Lepisosteus oculatus: one gene and its partners. The protein of the gene in region 3 binds, or shares a complex with, the protein of the main gene of each other region. Links are inferred from orthologs where the notes say so. Each region holds a gene or a part of one and is shown on either strand. Other genes may lie near its edges.

Region 1 (7,705 bases), on a different chromosome or scaffold from region 3:
AAAGAGATTTTTGACTGTATGTCAAAAAGACTTGGACCATGGAATATAATAGTAACAATCCCACAATGCTGCATTCTTTGAATTGTTCTTTTATACAGTAAGCGCTTGGTAAGTCAAATTAAATAAATCAAGCTCTCCTTTCTCTCCCATTACATTGATTGTTCTGTGGCATTAAATGTCTGCAAACCTGTAAAAAGCTTAGCGTTTGGTGAGTGAATTCCAGTTACTCTTGCTGTCATAATCTGAACACCCTCAGCAGTAGAGGTGCACAGAACTGAAACGACAAACAACACGAAATATTGAATAAACTGAAAAGATGTCAATACAGCTCAAGTTTTGTTTAGCAGCACACATTGCTGCCTTTGATTCATGACACCTGCTGAAATCTCAAAATGACTAAATGAGGCAGCTGATCATAAGTAACTCCACCCAGACCTTTGTGGCAAACCTGGTGCTGTAGCTTTCAACGTGCTCATGCTGAGCACCCTCTGCTGTGTGCACACCACACAGCGGGGGTCGTGGGGCCGGACTGAACTCGGATCAAAACAATTCTCATTCGGCAGGCTTTGACCCTCAGGGCAAACGGGTCACCACGAGGAACACACTCCCCCGGGGCTGTGGAGGACTGCGCCCAGCCTCATGCTGCTGAGTGAGTGAAGCCGGGGCTGGCCAGCGCAGCATCCTCAGGAGGGCGCTGTGACCGTGCGGCGTTCCTCGGGGTCACACTGGTGAACCCGACCAAATTCTTCAGTGCCAGGGCGCGTGGTTTTCTCGATAGGGCTGCTGGAATAGCGTCAACCAGCTCCTTCATCATTCGTAGCAGCGGCCTCACCACCCAAGCAGCCGGCCATGAGGGGTCCAGACATGGACCCAGACACTGTCGCCTCGAACCTGGGTCACAACAGACAGAGCCGGTTTACCCGGCCAGTACAGATTCCAAAATGATGGAGGGGCCAGGGAGGGAGAATTCTAAAGTAGAGAATCATTGAGGCATTTAATGTCAAATAAATGGATGTAAATTGCTCGCCCTCTGATATGTCTTCTGACTCATCTGGCTGTGCCTGGAGTACCGTAATTACTGTAGCCACCGGGGCTGGGAAGGCCGGGGGACAGGCCTGACAGATTAACGAAGCAGTGAAACCCTTTGACGTACGGAGTATAAATGGTATCAAACACGGGTGAAGCGATGACTCATTCGTTTTTTTCCCCATCCTTGACTGGACGCTGGAACACTGCTGCTTTCAACTCACTGACAGCCTACTGTGGGCGGTTAGACAATAAAAAATAAATATTATAACCCCCACCCCCCCCCCAAGGTCTTTTTTGTTCCTGTTCTGCTGTATTTCACACTTTGGTTTGTCCTATTCCCATGAGCATCCCGAAAGCTAACCTAGAATTCCTAACCAGCTCCGGAATACCGGAATATAGTACGGCCTCGTTGTGAGAGAGAAAGCCAGGAGCCGATGGACCACTGCAAGCCGAGAACTCAGGTGTCAAGACACCTTTTCCTTTTCAGTTCTAAGAAAACTGGTTCAGCTCAATCTAATACCCCCGTTGATTCAGTTCGAGAGCGGTACTCACTTGACTTGCTGTGGTTGGGCTGCAGACACCAGAGAGCTTGTGTTTGAGGCGTGTTAACAAGTTCATTTCACAGCCGTCGGAGTGATGGGCATTTTAGGTACACCACTTGAAGTGTGACTTTTTTTTCTGGTACTGGATTCCAGTGCTTATTTCCGATCACATGGTTTCCATTAATTCCTTTTGGGAGGAGATTCAGTTAATTACAACCACAAAACTGGTCTGATCACCAACCACGATGACCAAAGTTAGTTGCTCCTGTATTCAGGTCTCAACGGGACAGATGTGGTTGTCATTAGGTGACACTGGTGACTCATCCCAGTTTGACTCGCATTTCATTCCGCTAATGATCAAATTTAACCCCTGGCACGCATGTTGTTTTATTGTTGCACTTCTACCACTGTCTGAACATGAGATCTTCCAACACATAATGTCAGCACAATATTATACGTATGGTATCCCAATGGTGCAGTTTCAGTGACAATTCCAATGGCTTGCAGAAGTCATTGAAGATCCATACCGCATTGAATTCTGTCTCATAATTTACAAACAACAAAAAAAGGACTAAATATGACGTAACAGGAGAAAATGATACATGAAGAAAACACACCTGAAGCCATATGCCCAGTTCAGTAAAGGAAGAATCACTTATTTATCAATGTTTATAGGCAGATGCAGCTCACCTGTGCCACCAGACCACTCCTGCAACCCGTCACCTCAAAATGACGAATGTGTCCGTGTTCAGTTTCTCAGAATACACTTCTCAGCGAGCTAACTCACGGCGAGTTTTACACCGGGTCCTGTTCTGGCTGCAAGCTAGTGGCAGGTTAGGGCCCCTGGACCCCGACTGGAAAGCTGTGGGCTCGAATCCTGGGTGGGCTCCAGCTGTTGCATCCTGGGAGAAGGACGTCTCTCCAGCTTCCCCAGCCGAAGGCTTGACTGTATCGGTGGGTTAGCTAGAGCAATGGCCATCACAATGTACTTACTAAATTACTACTAATTCTAGTAAATAAATTCCTTAAAATGAAGCCACTTAGGTGTCTTAAATGATTAGTACTGTATTAAATCCCCTTGCTTAGTGTCCTAACATATCCCAGCTGACCCTGTGCTAATTTTGTGTCTGTGACTAAATACACTGGGTAAAGAAAGATACTGCCTTTTAGATTGGGCATTTCCCAATATCATAAATCATTGATTTTGCAATAAATATACTTACCAAAACAATTGTGGGAAAGTAGTGGACAAGATGGGAGAGACCAAAGCACTGATGTAATTTGTGGGAAACACACTGACAAAGTGTCAAATCCTTCATCTACCCTTCCTGTTTCAGGGGAATGTTTATTGAATCGGAACATTTTCCATTCGTTTCTTTTTAGGCTCTATTTAAAAAAAAACAGGGCTCATGTTAAATACACCACCAGGCAACTCCCAGCTGTGGGTGGCCCTGTGCTAGAAACTTTCTTTGCAAACCACCAGGATGGGGGAAGGAACGGGAACAGAGATCAGATCATGACAGAAGAGCCATTTGCTCATGCTACTGAAACTCGAGCACTAGAGCCGGTGAGTGCTCACACGCGCATTCAAACCCCACGTTCGGGGATGAAAGCCGTTCCCATCTTCACACATCAAGAGCATTTACATCAGCCTAGACGTCCTCAGGCATGCTGGAGCACTTATTCCAGCTTGGCAGGACCTGCTGGACTGGAAGATGCTCTCAACTCGTTGTCCCTCCTGTGGGGGGTGCCGAGAACTCACTTCTACCGCCTCCTTCTCGGCGCGCAAAGGAGAGAAATTCTGCGCGCCGCGTCCGAGATGGACAGGCAGGGTTTTCTGAAGAACAGCTGGTTGTGACCACGAGTGTGTCCTTTTCAATTCGGTATTGAAAGACAATCCCGGGAGAGCCAGGGTATTGAAAACAGGCGAATGGCTGTTTGTGTGTGTGTGTCAAGGATGAGTTTTATAATTCACGCACGCTGTTCTCTAGAAAGTGGGGCAGGACAGGTATTACAGTTGCTATGGCTAATTAGCAAGCAGTGAGGACGCTCAGCCTGAGCACGGCAGCATTCTTCCACATACCCTCAAACGGTTAAACCACATCAATCCTAAAGAGTGCTCTTCGGCTTTTAAACCGCAGAGAACAAGGTTTCGACTCTTAACTATGGGTGCTGCAAAAGGAGGTTGTGTAGAAATGATCACATTGTCATTTTTCTCCCCGGGTATGGGCGTTAAAGAAAAAAAGCGTACAAGGCCGGAATGTGAAATTTTGTAACAGTGGTTTTACTTTCAATTCAGACTTGAACACTCAAATAGTAGAGATGCTTATTTGCTGTATCGGTTAAGCCCAGATGTCCGGGGTATTGCTGGTTTGAGTCTGGACAGTCAGCCAGCAGTGAGAGGGATTTTTCAGAAAAATTTATTCGAATTCCGCTTGCAGGGTTATCGTCGATTTAGGGCAAACGGGCACGTCTGTGACTCGCCTGGCACCTCTCATTCTGGGTGCGAATCGGCGCTCACTGTCTCGTAGACCCTGTAAGACTCACAAAGTCAAAAGAAGGACGATAGACGCCGAAAAAAAGGCACACCTCCCGAGGAACAAAACTGAGCTCTGCGGGTGATGTTTTAAAGTATCCTTGTTGTTACAAAAACACAAATGTTATTATCCTTTTGTTACTTGGGAAAACGTGAGTTTAAATACAAATATGAACAAGAAAGCTAAGATGCCGTTGATAAGACAGATCTGAGGCAGACGCAACACTGTGTCGCCAAGTAGTAATATTGTCCTCTGTTCGCATTCGTTTCTCCAAGTACGCATTACTAATTATAGCTTTCAGGTTGAAAAAAAAAACTCATCGTTGTTCACCAGAAAGACAGGGTTTCATCTTTAGATCAGCATCGATGCAACAAATGGACAGTAAATAACAGTATGTACCTAAAGTATAAGAAACCGCCCTGCATATAGAATCGTTGTCGTTTAACATTTAATTTTTAAAGGTGTTTGCGATTCTTTGGGGGGGGGGAGGGGGGTGTATCTGAGGAAACCTGGTTATATAAAACAGGGAAACGATCAGACTTCATGAATGAAGTGGTTTGCGTCAGTGCCCGAGGTCTGAGCAGAGAGGCAGCGCGCCTCCTCCTCCGCCAGATAAAAAGCCAACTTCTGGGGGAGCGGCGCTCTGGGCTGCGCTGAACACCGCCGAGCGCTCCCTGCCTCTCTCCGCGCCGTCCGCCCCGCGTTCCCCGGGAAAAAAAGGGAGGAGGAGGAGGAGGAGAAGCAGAAGAAGAAAAAGAAGTTGCCCGGCCACACAATGGACGAGACCTCCACGCTGCTGGGCCGAAACTTCTCCCGGGACTTCCAGATGCTCAGCCAGTACCTGCTGGCGGCGGCCGGGAACGCCTCGCGCCCGGCGAACGCGACGCCCGGGGAGCACGAGGAGGACAGCCTGGACGTCAGCACGGACATCTACTCCAAGGCTCTGGTCACCGCCATTTACATCGCCCTGTTCGTCGTCGGCTCCCTGGGCAACTCCATCACGCTGTACACCCTGGTCAGGAGGAAGACCTTGCAGAACCTCCAGAGCACGGTGCATTACCACCTGGCCAGCCTGGCGGTGTCCGACATCCTCATCCTGCTCCTCTGCATGCCCATAGAGCTGTACAACTTCATCTGGGTCCACTACCCGTGGGCTTTTGGGGGAGCCGTTTGCAAAGGGTATTACTTCTTGAGAGACGGCTGCTCCTACGCCACGGCGCTCAACATCGCCAGCCTCAGCGTGGAGAGGTACATGGCCATCTGCCACCCCTTCAAGGCCAAAAGCATCATGTCCAGGAGCAGAACAAAAAAGCTGATCAGCGCTATCTGGGTGGCGTCGTTTCTCCTGGCGACCCCCATGCTGTTCACCATGGGCCAGACTTACACCAACAACGTTCAAATCTGCACCACCATAGTCTCCACGCACACGGCCAAGATCGTCCTGCAGGTGAGTGAAAGGGACTTCGCGACAAGACAAGAAACCCCCCAAAACAAAAAAGCGCTTTTCTCGCACCCGAGCCACCAGCTCAGCTCCGGGCGAATCGAGTGGAGAAACACGGTGGCGCGTAAAAACAGTCGGTCGACTGTCCTAAACCTGTTCTGTAACATTCATAACACAGTTACGTAGTATTTGGGTAGTGTTATTAAACTCTAACAACGATAATAAGTCATAAGTAGAGTCGGTAAGACATTTTTTAAACATTATCCCGCGCCAAGGACTACCTGTTGCTTGTTTAACTTTTACCACATCTTTAAAAAAATAAAACGATCGTCAGAAAACGCCGGCATGTACCGTTAACGTTGCGGGCAGCAGGAACGGCCCCAGCGGAACCGCACGACTCCCGGGCCCAGCCGCTGAGGCAGTGCGGCCGGCACTGCGCCACTTCCACACGGCCCGGACTCGACAGACTTGGAGAGAGCTCCGTCGCTCTGTTCAGTACGGGTGTCCTTTAAACAACCCGGTAAGAGTAAAAAAAAAAAAGTCCAGATTTATAGAAAAGACATGAAGCAGATCTGGACTGTCTGAATCCAACAGAAACACACAGATACCTCAGTACTTGACACTTATTCTCCCCACCAAGACACGCTCTACGTGACGTTTACTGTTTAAAACGAAACGGAAGAATGTGCTCAATGGGTATAATTAATGTCATTACAGTCGAGAGTGCTTCAATTACACCTGCCTGCGCCGCGGTTTCTGGTGGTACAGTACATGTCGTGTATCGCGCTGTGTGATGGAGGAAACTGGTAAAAAAATAAAATAATCATTCTTCTTTAATACATAGAACAAGTCGTGTGGTCTTGTAATATATGGAAAAAATAGATTGGCTTACTTAAGAAATATTTATGCACCGTTGTTAGTTTTAGGTTTGGTTTTCTGTTTTCTAAAACGACCCTTAGAAGTCACCTAAAATTTGAAAGATAAAAATGTCCAGTCGTTATTTTTAAATATGTTCACTTCTCGTCGTACAGGAGATTTTCCCCATTCTAACAGGAATAATATTTACCCTTGACAGATCACACCTTCTGTATAAATTATCGCAAAATGTTGGTCCCGAAAATGAAAAAAACAACAAAAAAACAACACAATTAATGCTACTGTAAGTGCGTCGAAACTGTGCTGTTAGAAGACACAGCCATCCAGCCCTGCGCAGCACAGAGCGCACTTCAGGAATGTTCTCCGGCTGGGTCACGTCGTGGACATTAGAACTACCGATTATGCGTTACAATTGCCCAGAAAGCAATAGCCACAACAATAAAACATAATATATTACAATAGATTTTACCCTGTGCAATAAGCAATATTCACAAATGCGTTCTTGCTCACAAAGTCATCCCATCACAGTGCGTGGTATGGGATACATTGCACTTTGCACACACGGGCTGGGAGCATTTCAATTACATCCACGATGTCAGAGTGTTCTGATGAGATTGTTTTGACAGATATACACCTTAACCCTGACGTGGCAGTAGGAGCTTGGCTCTGCTGTGCGGCCACCAGAGATTCAGAGTTTGGACCGCCTGAAGTCTGCAATACAGTGGAGGCTGAGCTCGAAGCAGCATTCTTCCCCATTTTAAAACCCACACTCTGTGTGCAGGAGAGGGAAAGCAGACAGCCCGCTTGGCTCGGCTGTATTTTTCATGGGGAATGTTGGAATTGTGTTCCTGCGCAGGGAGAGATCTCCAAAGGAAAAGATGAGGTTGTCTAGGTGACAAGATCTGCGTTTCTGTTGAGCCGATGCAGGCAGGCAGCGAAATACTGTACCTTTGAAATGTTTCCAATTTCACAAGTGCTTCACTGCTGTGTTTTAATGCTCAGCGTGTAAGAAATGTAAAAGCAGAACAGCAGTGTAGAGGGTAAAATCAACTCACAGAAGAGTTTTAGAAGCCCTGTAACACAGGCATTGCAGCACCCAGGGGGTAGACTGCCAAATCGCTTTCAAAAACCTCTTATCCAGTACAGGGTCGCGGAAAAGCCAGAGCCTATCACAGGAAGCAACGGGCACAGGGCAGGGTACACCCTGGGTTGCACGCCAGTCTATCCCACGGCACACACACTCACACCAGGGCCAGTTTTCCCAGAAGCCAATTAAACTA
Region 2 (7,081 bases), on a different chromosome or scaffold from region 3:
TACCTGTTTTACACCCTTAATTTTGCACGCTTCTCGATCTTTTGGCTAAGATCAAGTGTATTAGTTTCTTAATTGATACATGACTTACGGGAGTTACAAAAGCTTCTGATTTGTACAAACAAGTGACTTGAGGTGGCTACACGACTGGGATCTCCCCTGGTCTGGAGTCTGGCCTTTGCTGCCAGGGAATAGCTGTCTTCTGTCTGTGCAGCAGGGATGGTGTTGTAACAGCCCCCAGACCGCTGTCCTGCCCGGGATGAGTGTAGCTGTAACATCCAGGGAGCAGAGCTCAACCTTCAACAGCCCCGCAGCTGGGATTGATACCGCTCAACGAGACAGGCGGGCTCAGTCTCCTGGTACTGCCCCTCGTCAGTCTGCAGTCATGGGTGTCGCTGCGGCCTAGCATCCTGTCAGACTAGTGCGTTTACATCACATGCCTGTCATTAGAAACAGCATCTGACTCTTGCCTTGTTGTGCAGTGAATGGATAATCTCATTTTGATATTCAAGAACAAAATTTCCTTGTTTTTTCTTTTTTCTCCCCTTCCAAGAGATTGTGGAACAAGCAGAAGCAATGCAAATATCAGGATGAAAACCTGAAGCCCACAAATGTTGATCTTTTTGTGTTGTTTCATAAATTGTTTTTTCCAGTCGATGACTTTAAAAGATGCCATCAAATCTTCGCTCACCATCCTGAAGCAGGTCATGGAGGAAAAACTGAATGCAACAAACATAGAGGTAGATGATCTTCATTTCCTGATGATTTTTTACCCCCTGTATATCACTCTTTCCCTTCCAACATCCCTGAGATCCATCTTGTTCACAGATCCAGCCAGTTGCAGACAAATGCATTGACTTCCACCCAGTAGTCTCACAAGCCCAACAGCAGCTCAGGGGAGACCTGTAATATTTCTGGCCTCCTGTCCTGAAAGCCCTGTGCCCTGATGGTGGTTTTCTTTACCTTGTTGATCCCCGCCCGGTATGAAGTGCTGGGTTTATAAGATTGTAGTTACTGTCAGGCAGGTTGCAGTTTTTTTATCGGGGTTCACGTTTTTCAGGCCTTTAGTGGAATTGAATCCATGGTGTTTTAACATCTTCAGGTTTAACTTTGCATTTAATGCAGTCTAAAGTGATTTCAGCTGTTAGTTACATATTTGTTACATCAAGGACAGAGTACTGGGGAAGTGAGTCTAAGTTTTTTTATATTTGCTTCTGCTGAAGCAGCTTATTTAAGACCTTTAATTACTTCTTAATAGAGCCCACTGCTTTTGAAAGCCAGACACGTCTTCCCCGTTTATCTGCTTTGGAAGCTCAATGGAAATGAGAGGAAAGAAATGGAGGGACGCAGGACTCCACCTGCTAGGTTGAACGTGTTGTGCAGCCCAGTGTGTGCAGCTTTGTGATCTGTGACTCTGTATGAGTGATGGAGTACTAAACCTACCTCTCAGGATTGTGCGATATGTGAGAATCCTCCCCTGCTGCTGCTATTACCAAGTAGTGTTGATTATAACAAGTACTGTTGTGTTTGGCAGGCAGTTTCATCCCAGGAGACCTCCAGTAGAGCAAGCTACCTAATAAAATAGAATACAGCTTACAAAAATAGCGCTTGTTGTAGGAGGCAAAAAGCTATGAAATAGCGCGTACACAGTGTGTCCTAAAGAACATGCCTCACATTGCAGTTACTATTAGCAAAACTGACAGAAGCTCCAAACACACTTGGGACTGTCCAGAATGGATAATTACAGTTTTCTAAGAAATGCCTTCTGCGTGCACAAATGCATTTTGTCCCAGAGGGATATCAGGACTTTGGCCACATCATGTGGGCTTGTGGTTGGGGCTGTTTGGGCAGTCATCATAAGTATTAATATTGTTTTCTCTCCGACAGCTTGCTACAGTAGAGCCTGGGAAGACATTTCACATGTACACGAAAGAAGAGCTAGAAGAGGTTATTAAAGATATTTAAAGTCCAGCAAGCTGGCACTGACGGATTTTTAGTAGATCTGACTCCCACAACAGTCGAGCACACCAGACGTTCCTGGATTGCGGTGCAAGAGATGGTAACCAATGCCTTTTTAGCTCTCCTGAGACGCACACACAGTAATGCGGTTTCAGTGAATAAGCAGGAATCTACTGTTTGTATTTTTTTTTCTTCCTTTCTTTTGTGATTTTTACAAGTCTGTACATAATACAGCACAACATGAGAACTGGGACTAAAGGCAAAAAAAGGGGTGATGTGTAATTTTTGTTACAACTTGACTCAATAAATCTGTTGTATTCCAAAACATATCGCATACGTGACTCCTGGTCTGTTCCTTTGCAAGTCAGAGCACAATGTGTGAACACATTGGGTGATCTGGCAACTGTGTTGTCTTTGCATATCTGGACCTATCTGATAGACCTGCAAGAATTAAATATTTTATAATTCAGTCAGTATAATTGCCCAATTGTTTGATTCTGATAGATTGAAATGGACCTTTGTCCTTACCTTATTTATTTGATGTGGCACATTAGGAAAATACTGTACTACTTTGAGCCACTAAAAAATGTCTTTAGTGTTGCGAATCATTTTGTTTGCTGCACAAGGCCACCTACAGAGGAGATTTACTACCTCTCGTTAGAAGTTCCTGGTAGGTTAGTTTTTCAGTCTTTCAGTTTTCTGCCAAAAGTGCAACTGATGTGGACCAAAAGTTTGGCAGCACTACTGCTCATCCTGTCAAGAGTTTGGAAGGTCTCTGGGCCGCTGCCTGGTACAAACGTGGTACAAAATGTTCTGGGCTGAAAGGGCACACTGGGCGCTGGGTCCAAATGCATTGTTGCACAAAACCTCTACTAAAAAAATCCAGGTGGGAATTAAAGTGCTAGGAAAACGCAGTACAGTTAATCCGTCTTGTCCGTGTTCGTCCTGAGCTATGAAGTGAAGTTCTAAAGTGTATAACTTATTTTACTGCTGAACTGACCCGTCTGCAGTAGCGTTTACTTACCCGCCCGTGGACTGGCATGAAGCTGGCGCGGAGCGGAGCTGTAAGTGTTGAAACCCGCGCCCTGTGCGGCCACTATTGAGTAATTTAAGATATGCCGTTATTAAGTACCGTCGTTTTCTTCAGTTGCTTCGGCAGTCTCGATATTTTTCATGTCAGAGATTGACGCGACTGTGCAGAACAATAATGCATCATTATTTTAACAGTAATTCTGCAAGATCTGTCTGGCTGCTCGGTCACGTGACAGAAACCACAGCAGTAACGTACCACTAATTGCAATAAAGAGTTCCGAGGCGCTGCAGTTCAAGACCCATTCATAAAATGTACAAAGTTTAGGAAGTGTCTTAATTTTATTTTCCATACATCGGAGCAGTTTAACTTGGATGTCGTATGCTTTTACGACACATTTAGTCGCAACTCTGCAGATACGGTATACATCTAAATACTTTTTTAATCATTAAACCTCAGAGAATAAGTAGAAGCACTTGTTTGTGTCTGTTGTACTGTTATTGTGTGCTGGTCTCCGGTTTCAGAAACTCATCTAGTTAACACCCGTAGAGTAAGACTTGATGTTACCGCGGATGGGAAAAGCAAATTATATGTCTGAGCCACACTGCCTCTGACGCTGTCACAAATATCACGTTACTTAATCAAAATCACACACTTGCAATGTGATCTTTCGCAGGAGATGGGGGCATCGCATAGCCGCCAACCAACCTTGACTGCATTTTTAATTGTTGACAGTGAAGTTCGGGGATCACATTTCTTTCCTGATCCCTGTCGAGTGTAGCCAATGAGGAAAAAAAAGAATCCTCCGGCCGAGAGACGTCAACCAATGGGAACCACGTTGATAGGCAGATTTGCGGAGTGGGCGTGGCCTCTCAGCTGTTCAACGAGGTGGGGTTGAATCCACCAATGAGATAAATCACTCCCAAGTCCAAGGGCTGTACGTGTGATCGATAGCTGAATAGAGCCAATCAGCACCGGCGTTCAGCGTCAAAGCAGCCAATCGCTTAGCCGTCTGGGGGAGGTAGGTGGTGTGAAGTGAATCTCCACCCTCAAAGCCGCTTAACTCCTATGTGCTGTTTGGTGCTTGGATATCGCTTGCTGCTGGCTTAGTGGGTTGTGCGTGTTTACATTACCTTTGTGGTTTGAGAGGGACCGCTCGCAAAAACCGGCCTGGCATTTATGGACGTTTTTTTTAAATAAAAAAACATATATATTTTCAAGCGCTTTCGCTCCCTCGCCTTCCCGTGAACGATGCGCCTCCCGATCCCCCGCAGCCGCTGCGTGGTGTTCTTCCTGTTCCCACTGGCGCTGTGCGTGGATTTCCGCGACAGAGCCAGCCGCGGGGTGCAGTCCACGTTCGTCAAGACCGGGAGGCTGGAGGATGTCTTCAGCTTCCCCTGGCCGTCGAGCGCGGAGTCGCCCGGGGGCTCCGGGCAGCACAGGGTGAGCCGGAGGAGCGCGGACAAAGCCGACAGCTGCAGAGCCCTCCAAGGATACGAGTCCAGGCTGGGCAGCAACACGCACACCGTGAGTAGACGACGGCTCCGGCTGCTTGGCTGTCCCCTACCCCCGTGCCCGCTGGAGGCTCGGGGGGGGCATGCTTGGATTCACAGCCGACGCGCACGGTGTTGGTCCGGGGTCCCAGCTGCCTGGCCGGGCTCCGAGCTCGGCGCCGGGGAACGGAACGTCCTGGTACTCTCCCTTCCAGAGAAAACACTTCTCCGTCCTGTTGTTCTTGTACTCCAGCCTCCTCAGGCATTTCCTTAAACCGGGGACTAGTAGGGTTAGCCCAGCCAAGCGCCTCTCCGCAGCCTGCCCTCTGTTTTGTTTCTCGCCGAGGTGCGTGTCATCTCAGTTCTCTCGTTTCACGGCGCGACACTAGTAGTCGTAGCAACGTCAATATTCTGCTCTCTGGAGTGCAATGCAAAACAAAACCAAAAAAAAAAAGAGCGGTGTTATAACACTAAAATGATCCCGTCTCGCCCAGTGGGTAGCTCCATCCTTGATTGTGTTTGCAGGTTCGCCCCCCGGCGGTTCAAGGTGCGCTTAACCTTAAATTCAAGCGCTTGCAAATGAGGTATTCAGTTCCCGCTGTGCAATTCGCACTTTAAATTCCAGATGCTTTATGTTTCCGTTTCTTTTTTGTTGTTGTTGTTGTTCATGCATATGGAGATGCGGTGTCGCTTGTTTTTGAAGTGTCCCGACACCATCAACGGATAGGGGAACAGAAGTGATACGGTAACCTTTAATAATTTATCTAGAGGCGGTGTTCTCGCAGGTGGCCCCGTATCCACAGACGAGCCAGGTCTCGGTGTGCCGCCGGGGTTGTCAGTGTGTCAGTACCGTGGTCTGGCTCGGCTCCGTCCCGAATCTTGAACTGTGTCGGGGGGAGTCGGCGATCGCCGGATGTTCAGTCCCGGGGGTGGAGTGGGAGAGACGGATGTTAACTGGGAAGGACGCAGCGGGCACGGGAGATTTAAGGGGCCAAGTGTAATTGACACGCCGCGCCACTCGCCGAGAGGTAAAACTCTTGGCCCGCCCGTGTGTGGCAGTGACCGGCTCTGCTGCCTGTGAGGGCAGGGCAGGGAGAAAGCTATAGCCCGGCTTGTTTGCCCCCACACCTCGCTGTGAAAGTGTGTGTGTGGCTATAGGCGCTGCTGTATTCGAGTGGGATATTAATGGAAACGTTTTAGGAGCGGAAGCGCTGTCGACCACAGCACAGTACGTCTTTATAAATGTGTAATATATGCAAAACGTTCGCTATTCCCACGACACTCTATTTCACAATTGCAGCACCGACCTGAGTTGCTTCGGTTTGCAGTAATTGTTATTCTTAATGGGCTTTAAGTTTCGAGGGTCCTTACTGACACTGATGTGTTGTGATGCATTGAAACGGAGTCCTGCCCTGCTGGAAAATGTTGGGGATCCCTGCGCTATACCGAGAAGCCCTGCCGCTCTCTGGTCAGTAAATAGGACAGCACCTTCCTAACAGACAGGCCCCTGAGTGTCAGCCAGGATTATTACCTGACTTGCTGGTTTTGGTGACCAGGTGAGTGTACGTATGATTTCATACGTGTGACCTTGTGGTATAAACAGCAGCTGACTGCAAACCGGGGCTGAAGACAGGGTTTAGGTGTCTTTAAACCACAACCACCCACAAATCGGATCATACTGAACACCTCGCTCGAAGGTACAGCTGAACCCTGTCCAGAGGGGAGAGCTTTCCAGTTAAGAGCCCCGGGCTGTGACCACCACCCAGCGCCCTCTCCATTCCTCCGCTTCCTGCCTGGTGGGAACTGATCTGCTGAGGCACTCGTTAGAGGCTGACGAGAACTCGGGAGAAATCAAAATAACACTTTTGATGGCGTTCCTGCGGGGTCAGACTTTTGGCTTCGCTCACGGGAACAATCACAAGACCTAGACCTGACTATCCCACAAATTTCAGAGAAACGAAAGCTTGAGGATTAACAGCCTGCTTCTCGTGAACAAAGACGGCGCTTGAAGCAGCCTGTTCTCTTGAGCACGAGGGGCTGTTCATGGCCTGGGCGTGAGTGAGGTCCGAGCCCGGCGAGATTTCGGGGGCGTGTAGAAACGAGACCCCCAGCTTCGACTCCCCTGCGGCTTCCTTTGCTTCCCCGGCTCCTCCGGTGAGGTGGGCTGGTTCAGGGAGCAAGCCGGCGTGTTGCTTCGCCGTGTCCTCCCGGCACCAGCCCGCAGTGAGACGCTGGTCCTCGGCACTGGGCTGCGACAGGCTGTGCACTGTTGGACAGGGACAGGAATAGAACGGAGCCTGACAGTCAGGCGCTCGAGACACAGCAGTGCTCTGGGCTGCCTTTGGCTCCGAGTTCGCTCAGCCCTGGGTAATGGGGTTGGTGCTGGGCACTGTCACAGGCAAACAGCGGTGGAGCTTATAATCCTGTCCCGACGCTGTGACGTGTGTGGTCAGCCTAGTGATTCCATCTGATATCCCCTGGTCTTGACGCGCAGAGCCCAGTCAAGTCCGCTGCTCTTGTGCGCAGAAAGATGCAGGCTGTAGCCATCCAGCGGTGTGACGGTTTTTGCGTTTTGAAACGCATCTTGCGTATTGTTTCTAGC
Region 3 (7,765 bases):
TAACGGCGAATAAACCAGCTTTCAAGTTCAATAATTAGCTGCGTTAAAGTACAATAGTGAAGCGGTCAATAGTTCAATAAAGGGAAAAATTCGAAGGAATAAATTACCTATTTTTCAGGCGCGCTTTTAAGAAATTCCTTCCAAAGGGAGCCATGGTAACTTGAAAGACTACAAAAATCCCAGGAGATGTTAAACAAGGAGCATGATTTGACTGTAGCCCTTACAGTTCATAGCAGCGAAAGACTAGACTGAAGGTGGGGGCGGACTTGAACTGTTAACTTTGTTCTCTCTTTGGTTTAGTTGTACTTGAGTAGCCCGTCCCATTCCTACACTGAAGGTGGCGTTATGCAAAAAAAAATCTTTCGAATTAGTACACTACAGCCCTCGTACATCCTTGTTTAACCTGTTCTTCAAATACATAGTATAGTCATAAAAAAGTATTGATCCATAAAAATGGACTGTGGAGACAAGGACTATGTAATAACATGGATATCTTTATTAAAAGCCTTAAAGATAATCACATACTGTACAAATAATCACTGCCACGTTGCCACGTTCAAAACAAGGTAGAAATGCAGTACTATAAGAAACACAAAGGTATGGATGTATGTAACATCAGCCCATTTTGATAAAGATTTCACCAAGGCAAGCGAAATGGATGAGAATATTAGTAAAAAACAATCAATTGCTCTTATTGATTTTTAAGAATTTATCATCGTCAAGCATTTGTTATCATTCTCATCATTGGAAAGTATTTTAATATGAGAAATCAAACTTTTACTAAAACTTTAGAATATTCAAAGTCCAAAGAATTTTGTGAATTTATGTTTTGGACTTTGAATAACAATTTACTTTTTTCTTTGCATGGAATTTGGAGGCAGCTGATCTGCAACACTTGAGGGCAATCATGTTTACATCTTTTATGCATTTATTTACATACATGATGAAGTCATTATTTATTTATTTGCTTAGCAGACACCCTTATTCATTCAGTGATAATTTCAATTTTAAGTTTTAGAGCAAAATCTGAATGACAGAAAATCATCGTCTTCTTCTACGCTGTTCTTTTGAATTTACATGTGTTCTGCATTCGTATTTGAGTGTTCATGCATGCGTTAGTATGGGTTTTGCTCGGGTAATCCGGTTTCCTTCCACATTCCAAACACACTCTCCCAAAGTTAATTATATAATAAACATGATTATGATATAATAATTAGTATTTAGTAATTGCCCTCTGAGCTATGCAATGAGCACTTGTCATGTCCGGTCTGTGCTATGACTTTGCGACCTGTGCCTGAAGGGTTGGCTCTCCTTCTAGTATTGACAGACTATAACACGTGTAAGAAGACAATATGTTGTGAATATTAGTCAAACGTAACTTATTCTATAAATCTTCTTGAAAATATGTTTTATTATTTGTCTTCATGTGTTATTTTCTGCACCAAAACATAATTTTGACATTTATAAGGGTTGGCAAGTTATTTTATCAGAGCCGTGAATTATACTAGCCTAAACAGATTAAATGTGTGATCGTTTATCCAACTATTTACTTTGCATGTAAATACATGAATATTTTCCCTTGGATTTCTAAAATCTTGCATCAAGTGGTGCATACGTAATCGTCTGTTAGTGTTCAACGTGCAGTTTTAGATTTCAACGGCACCTCATACAAGTACAGTATTTAGAAATCCTCAGACATTGACAAAGTCAGTCAAACAAAAGAAACATGGTGGAAGTGCATCAAAAATGAAGAACAGAAGGTAGATCTTTACCCAAAGAATTGTAGGAGCATGGCTGAAGCCATGTTGTTAAAGCCAATACCCTGGAATAGCCGGATGAGATAATTGGATCAATTAAATACCAATGTACCAAATGGTCTAGATGGGCCGTAAGACTACCTTTTCGTTTGTAACCTTTCTTATGATCTTAAGAACAAACATTATATGCCGTGGCTCAGGAAGGCCCAACAGACATCTAGAACGCGTGTTCATTTTATTGCGACTGAAATATTTGATCAAGTGTTTTAAAAAATTGCTGGCATTTTTATACCGTACATACTGTAATTCATTTCTGAATGCCAACATTTAGAAAAAACAAACCGTTGCACGGATTTCCAAGTGGTGGCACAAAAGAGTCAAATTCTGTACACCCTTTTGAAACGCTGATCAACATAAAAAAAAACGTCTTTGTTAGTAGTAACCACCTTGAACAGCAAAGCACTCCTGTTTTATAACTTAACGTTAACAAGTTCTCTTCACTGCCTCTAATCAGATCAGTACACATGACATATTTTATTGGACAACTGAGAAAAAAATATATCGTGATACGATCGTATGTATTTGATAAAATCACATTATTAAATTAACAGATTATAATGTAAAACTTTAAATAAGGAAAATTGTCTTTCACTAGCTTGTTCCAATTTTGCAATGATACAATTGGTAGTGTTAATTCATCCTCTGAAATTCTAACATACAGAATATAAAGGAACAGATATTGCACAATAGCTTTATCTTCTTTTCCTTATGTTTGAAGTTAATCTAGACATTCACCATCCTCTTAAATCCGTTGCGTTAATGTCAAACTACAGTAGATGAACATGTAAACGTAACCATTTGCTCAAGGGAGACGACCAGTGGGTATCTTGTTACCTGCAATAGTTAATGTCAGGTGTCATATAATTATTTTAAATATGAAACAAATTATTATTTTATCTCGTAGTGTATCTATATCGTACAAATTTGTTTATTATTGGTGACAATTAAAGATACATGTTTTTTTCATTGACAAGTAAGCCCAGATAGTAAGGCTATTCAGAAGTGAATAACCCATAGGGAGTTACTATAATAGAAGTTCTGTCTTAATTTATGTAAGTGATTTCAGATTTTAGCACAATAAAAATATACTAAAAAGAGAAAAATGACACGTTTTATTAATCCCAGTAAATAAAATATGCAGTTGCAGTACTTCTGCAGAATCTATTCTTTCATTTAGTTTCACAGTCTGCTCTTAACACAACATGCCCACTACCAGTATGAGAAAACTGGAAGCCTGATATTCTTGGCACCAGATGAATTTGGGCTGAACCTGAGATGGGTTCTCTTGGTATTGCATACAATTAAACACAATCATGAGTTCTAGAAAGTGGAATACTATTGTTTGATCATTGACAAGGCTGTGTGAAATAGAGTCATCTTGCACTTGCTCTTGGTCTTGTTTTTGGCATACCCTAACTGTACATTTTTTAAATAAAGTTTAAATAAAGTTCTGGTCATAAAAACCTTTTTGTAGAGAAATGCTGAAATGTTAGCATTAAATATACTATATAATAGAAGGGATATATATGGCAAATTATTAAAATTTGCATAAATATCTGCATTATACATGAAAGATATGAAAATGCTGTCCAATGCCTGCTCTCTACATTTTACTGAGATCTTTACTGAACTTATACAGCATTATACCTCATACAAAGCACTGCACTCTGCCAATACTAACCTGTGACAATAAAATAAGTATACTTTCATTCTCTACTATTACATTTGATGTTCATTCTAATATTAGCTTTTAGGTTCCAATATTTTGTGACTCTTATCTTAAATATATTAAGAGTATAGAAGTGGCATTTTTTTAAAAACTGTAAATCCTACAGTACACTCATCCTTAACATTAAAGAATACATTTAGATACAATATACATTTCAAGTAATAGACTTAAAAATACTGTAATTCACCAACTTACCCAAGACATTCAGTGGAGATTCCACGAAACATAATGCATAGAAATGTAAACTCCATCATAATTTTTGCAACACTGTTGAAAGTTTCTTAAAGGCTTTTAAGACGGCTGATTAAGGAGATTTTAGGGTAGTGAAAAGGGGCTATTCACATATTTCTTACAAGTCCTGTAACACTACCTGTGCTTATACTGTAAGTAGTTTTTTTTATAGTTTTTATCAGTATACAGTAATTATACTATATACAGTATCAGATATTGTGCATATACTGTATAACTATAAACATATAAGATGTTTGAATCATTCTACATTCTGTAGCATACAGTACAGTTAAACACAACCAGGAGCTTGTGGGACATGCAGCCCCTTTATAGAATTCTTTATATTCCCAAATGTGTATTTACCCTTGTGACTGCTTCATGTATCTCTCTTCTTTTCCATGCTGTTTTAAACCCTTCTTTCACACAGAACTAACAAGGTGTATATTTCAATGATCATGGCAAGATTTGGCAAGAAGCAAAATGGTGCTTTTCTTGCTTATGTTTCTTAATGACCAGCTAGACAAAATTTATAATCTATCCTTAGCATTGCATGCAAATTGTTGAAATGCTTCCTTTTTGTCAGTCAATAAGATTCTCCCAAATGATTAATGATCTAAGGCAGACATTGATTGAACATTGAGTGAGTAGTAGCTAGCATTGTGTCTTCTCTTTTTCACATTCTTGTGAGAAATTTAAAAAAATGTTGTTACATTTCCACAGAAAGATCACATATAGTTAGATTTTAAAAAAATTAATTGATTTAAATTTCATAATGATATTAATTTCAGTTATCAAAGGGCAGATCTGCCTGCTTATCCAATAGACAATGCGCAATACATTTAATGAATGACGCCTTTCTTGAATTTGGGTAGTACAGTAGAGGGGGTGGAGTGTCTTCATGACATCATGCAGCTGCCTATATACTGAGTGAATGGAATCCTGAGCTCCTTATTCTGCACCCAAGCACAAGGAGAGTGTTTTAGTTCTCTCCTGATCCTTTCCATATGGACTTCATCATTATTTAGACAGAAAATAACTTGGAGTTCACACGATGAGATTTCAACTTATTTGTCTGGTGCTCCTCTTTGCGGCTTCTGATGGGATGTGCTCAGGTGGGTGTCACTAATTTATTTACTGCAGCAGGAAAAGGCTACACAGGCAAGATTTACAGTAGGTGTCTGATCTGAGATAATATAAAAACAGTGTTTTCTTTTATCAGTGTTAATATTCTGAGATTTTAAGCTTTTAAATGTGTTTTTTTTATTGTGTGTCTTGATGTGTACCATCACTACCACTATTGCTACTGATGCTACTACTTGTTCTTCAAACATTACAAGTAGTTGTGATTGTCATTATCATCTGTGGGAATCTACATTTCACCATAACTTTCCCTATAAATCCTTGGTTATGTAAAACACTTTGTCTTTGCTATTTTCTCTTACTTTTATCAAATATTTATAGTTAATAATAATAAAACACTAGAAACAGATTAGCAAACAAGACTAGGTTCAGTTGCAATGCAATGTAATGTAATGTAAAACAAATAACTGAAAGAATATTACATTTACATAAAAAGATTAAGAAAAACATTAGTCTGAAATGACTTCAAAGAACGTTTTTTTTTTTCATCTAAACAATGCAGTACATAAAATTACTTTTCCTTAACAAATAGACTCATCTAGAGTCTATTTGTCTATATTGGTCTATTCATTTAAATAGACCAATATTATTTTTAGCATGTGAAAACAATATTTAATGTTGTACAAATCTAAAAACAAATCTCTGCTATTAATCAGGTCTCACATTTGCTATATTTATACTTTATATTGCAGGGTAGGATGAACACAGAAGAGAGTGTATTGCTTTTGCACATTAAGTCTCTTTGGATTTTGTTTTTACACTGATATAAAAACTTTGTTATGGAAACTGGTCTTTCCAAAGTATTGAAGAAAGTAACATGGAATACACATACGGAAACCTTAATAATAAAGGATGAATCCACTAAAGACATATTATAATGGTAGAATTATTTCACGAGAAATAATTTGAGAAAAATTAAAAAAAGCTGAAAAAATAATTTAAAATGTTGAGTTTTCTGGAAAACTATTATTTTTAAGTTAAATTTAAATACAAAACGTTCAACTCTTAATAAGAAAACAATGTGATGTGTGTCGTAGAAGTATGAAAATTATTTTTAACAATGCGACATTAAGAAAAAATACATTGAAGTGTATAATGCTGCAAAATAAATGTGAAAATGTGCTTATAAAGATCTCAATGAATTCTGCTGTTAAATTAAAGTAGTTATTTTTTTCAGTTCAAGTTACATTATGTTATGAAGTGAAATTAGTCACATAAATGCTTATCAAAATCCTTCAAATTGTTGCATGATCAAAAGTAATTTCTGATTTCTGAAGACATGTTTCTACCAAAAAAAAAGATCAAAAACGATTATCACTAGGAGACATATATTCCTGAATTGCCTATTTTAATGTGTAATACATAAATCATTAGAATAATGGTTTTTACATACAGATATCAGTACTGTAAGTGCTGATATCTCAAAATTTGATTGGCTCCCTCATGCTTTCACCTTTCTTGTGAACCTCATATTTGCTGTTTATTTTCTGCTATTTTCAAAACTAAATCAAACCTTCGACATCAACACAACTACCAATATTCTAAATTACAACAGCTATCCATCCATTCATTTTCTAACCTTTTTTTTCAATACAGGGTTGTGAGGGAGCTGGCGCCTATTCTGGCAAGAAATGGAAACAAGGCAGGATACACCCTGGGCAGGACACCAGTCTATGACAGGACAAACACACACCAGAGCCAATTTGCCCATAAACCAATTAATCTACCAGTATATCTTTGAACTGTGGAAGGAAACTGGAGCACCCAGAGCAAACCCATATAAACACATAGAACATCCCAGGAATCGAACCCAGGACCCCAGCACTGCTAGGCAGCAATGCTAATCACTCCACTACCATGCCACCCACATCAGATATCCTAGAATCCAATTTTAGAACACATATTGGATTGATTTATTAAAAGTACATAACTTGGAACTATGGAAATAATTTAAAATAATGACTACGAGTCACTTTTATAATGAATGAAATAAGGAAGAAACACTATATAATGAATTAAATATCTCTGTTAGAAATTATACATATCAAATGATCACTAAATCCCCCAAATTCGTAATGAATACTAAGTGAATTGTGTAGTGAACAAAATGTTATATTGAAGTATAAAAGTATTTTATTTCTGTATTACGTTTGTTAAGAAAAAGATATTTGATAGCCAAGTTAAGAGTGCCTCTAATTTGTCTCTCTTAATATTACTTCAAATTCAATCACCAACTGTTAAGAATTCCAAGGGACCAAAGGATGTTTTGGGCTATTGTTATGGCCCTTGCTCAAGCACTTCAAACATTTTTGTTAAAAGCTCTACTTTTTTTATATACTATTTTTTTCTTTGTCCTGTTGTTTCAACATTACATTAAATGGGGCAAAACAATTATGGCATTTTGTTTCCCGTTAAACAGGTAAATTATAATTAAGGGAAAATATTATATTGCTGAAACATTTCACCATTCTTGATAAAAAGATCATAGAAAAATCATAATATTTATTTCTTATCACGGTCTAAATCATGAAGTTTTACTTAGGGTAGGTTTACTAAGTAAACGCATAAAATTAGTGACTAGTGGCTTGTTTGTTTCCTAGTAGCTAATTGATCCAAAGATCTTATCCAGCAGTTCATTGAAAGAAGCCAGGATATCAAGGCTGTGCAGTTTGTTCCTCACTCCCACAGTCCTTATCTGAGTTTCAACTTGCAGTGAATTATCCTGGACATGATGGGAAAAAGACTAATGACATGTACAGTATTAATGATAACATTTGTAAGTTTCAGACCAGTAATATTTTTAGCATGGTTTGTCCCCATCCAGCATTCAATTAGTTGTTTCTAAGGT

What was found. The genes of interacting proteins can lie anywhere in the genome.
Region 1: the proteins of nts (region 3) and ntsr1 are in contact, whole or in part, in a crystal structure (PDB 4BUO), measured with the Rattus norvegicus proteins. The link is inferred for Lepisosteus oculatus from reciprocal best matches to the Homo sapiens genes NTS and NTSR1. Residues at the interface, in NP_001095851.1 of Rattus norvegicus: Arg157, Arg158, Pro159, Tyr160, Ile161, Leu162; in NP_001102437.1 of Rattus norvegicus: Ser53, Asp54, Leu55, Asp56, Asn58, Phe128, His132, His133, Tyr146, Met208, Val224, Cys225, Thr226, Pro227, Ile238, Arg327, Arg328, Phe331, Cys332, Tyr333, Ile334, Ser335, Asp336, Trp339, Phe344, Tyr347, His348, Tyr351.
Region 2: the proteins of nts (region 3) and sortilin are in contact, whole or in part, in a crystal structure (PDB 4PO7), measured with the Homo sapiens proteins. The link is inferred for Lepisosteus oculatus from reciprocal best matches to the Homo sapiens genes NTS and SORT1. Residues at the interface, in NP_006174.1 of Homo sapiens: Leu152, Tyr153, Glu154, Asn155, Pro160, Tyr161, Ile162, Leu163; in NP_002950.3 of Homo sapiens: Val112, Ser113, Leu114, Ser115, Trp116, Lys260, Tyr304, Ser305, Phe306, Gly307, Leu308, Phe314, Ser316, Arg325, Ile327, Phe350, Tyr351, Ser352, Ile353, Tyr395, Gly399, Thr570, Gly571, Leu572, Ala573, Trp586, Trp597.

Annotation. Positions count from the first base shown.
Region 1 is NC_090711.1:3,524,785-3,532,489, reverse strand, and holds the start of ntsr1 (neurotensin receptor type 1), read left to right. Parts: upstream 1-4,617; 5' UTR 4,618-4,883; coding exon 4,884-5,555; intron 5,556-7,705. UniProt on the Homo sapiens protein: G-protein coupled receptor for the tridecapeptide neurotensin (NTS). Signaling is effected via G proteins that activate a phosphatidylinositol-calcium second messenger system.
Region 2 is NC_090700.1:39,850,129-39,857,209, reverse strand, and holds the start of sortilin, read left to right. Parts: upstream 1-3,993; 5' UTR 3,994-4,237; coding exon 4,238-4,513; intron 4,514-7,081. Other genes in the region: psma5 (proteasome subunit alpha type-5), read left to right, coding at 651-737, 1,885-1,962.
Region 3 is NC_090702.1:18,135,986-18,143,750, reverse strand, and holds the start of nts (neurotensin/neuromedin N), read left to right. Parts: upstream 1-4,733; 5' UTR 4,734-4,828; coding exon 4,829-4,889; intron 4,890-7,765. Other genes in the region: rassf9 (ras association domain-containing protein 9), read right to left, coding at 108-154. UniProt on the Homo sapiens protein: Neurotensin may play an endocrine or paracrine role in the regulation of fat metabolism. It causes contraction of smooth muscle.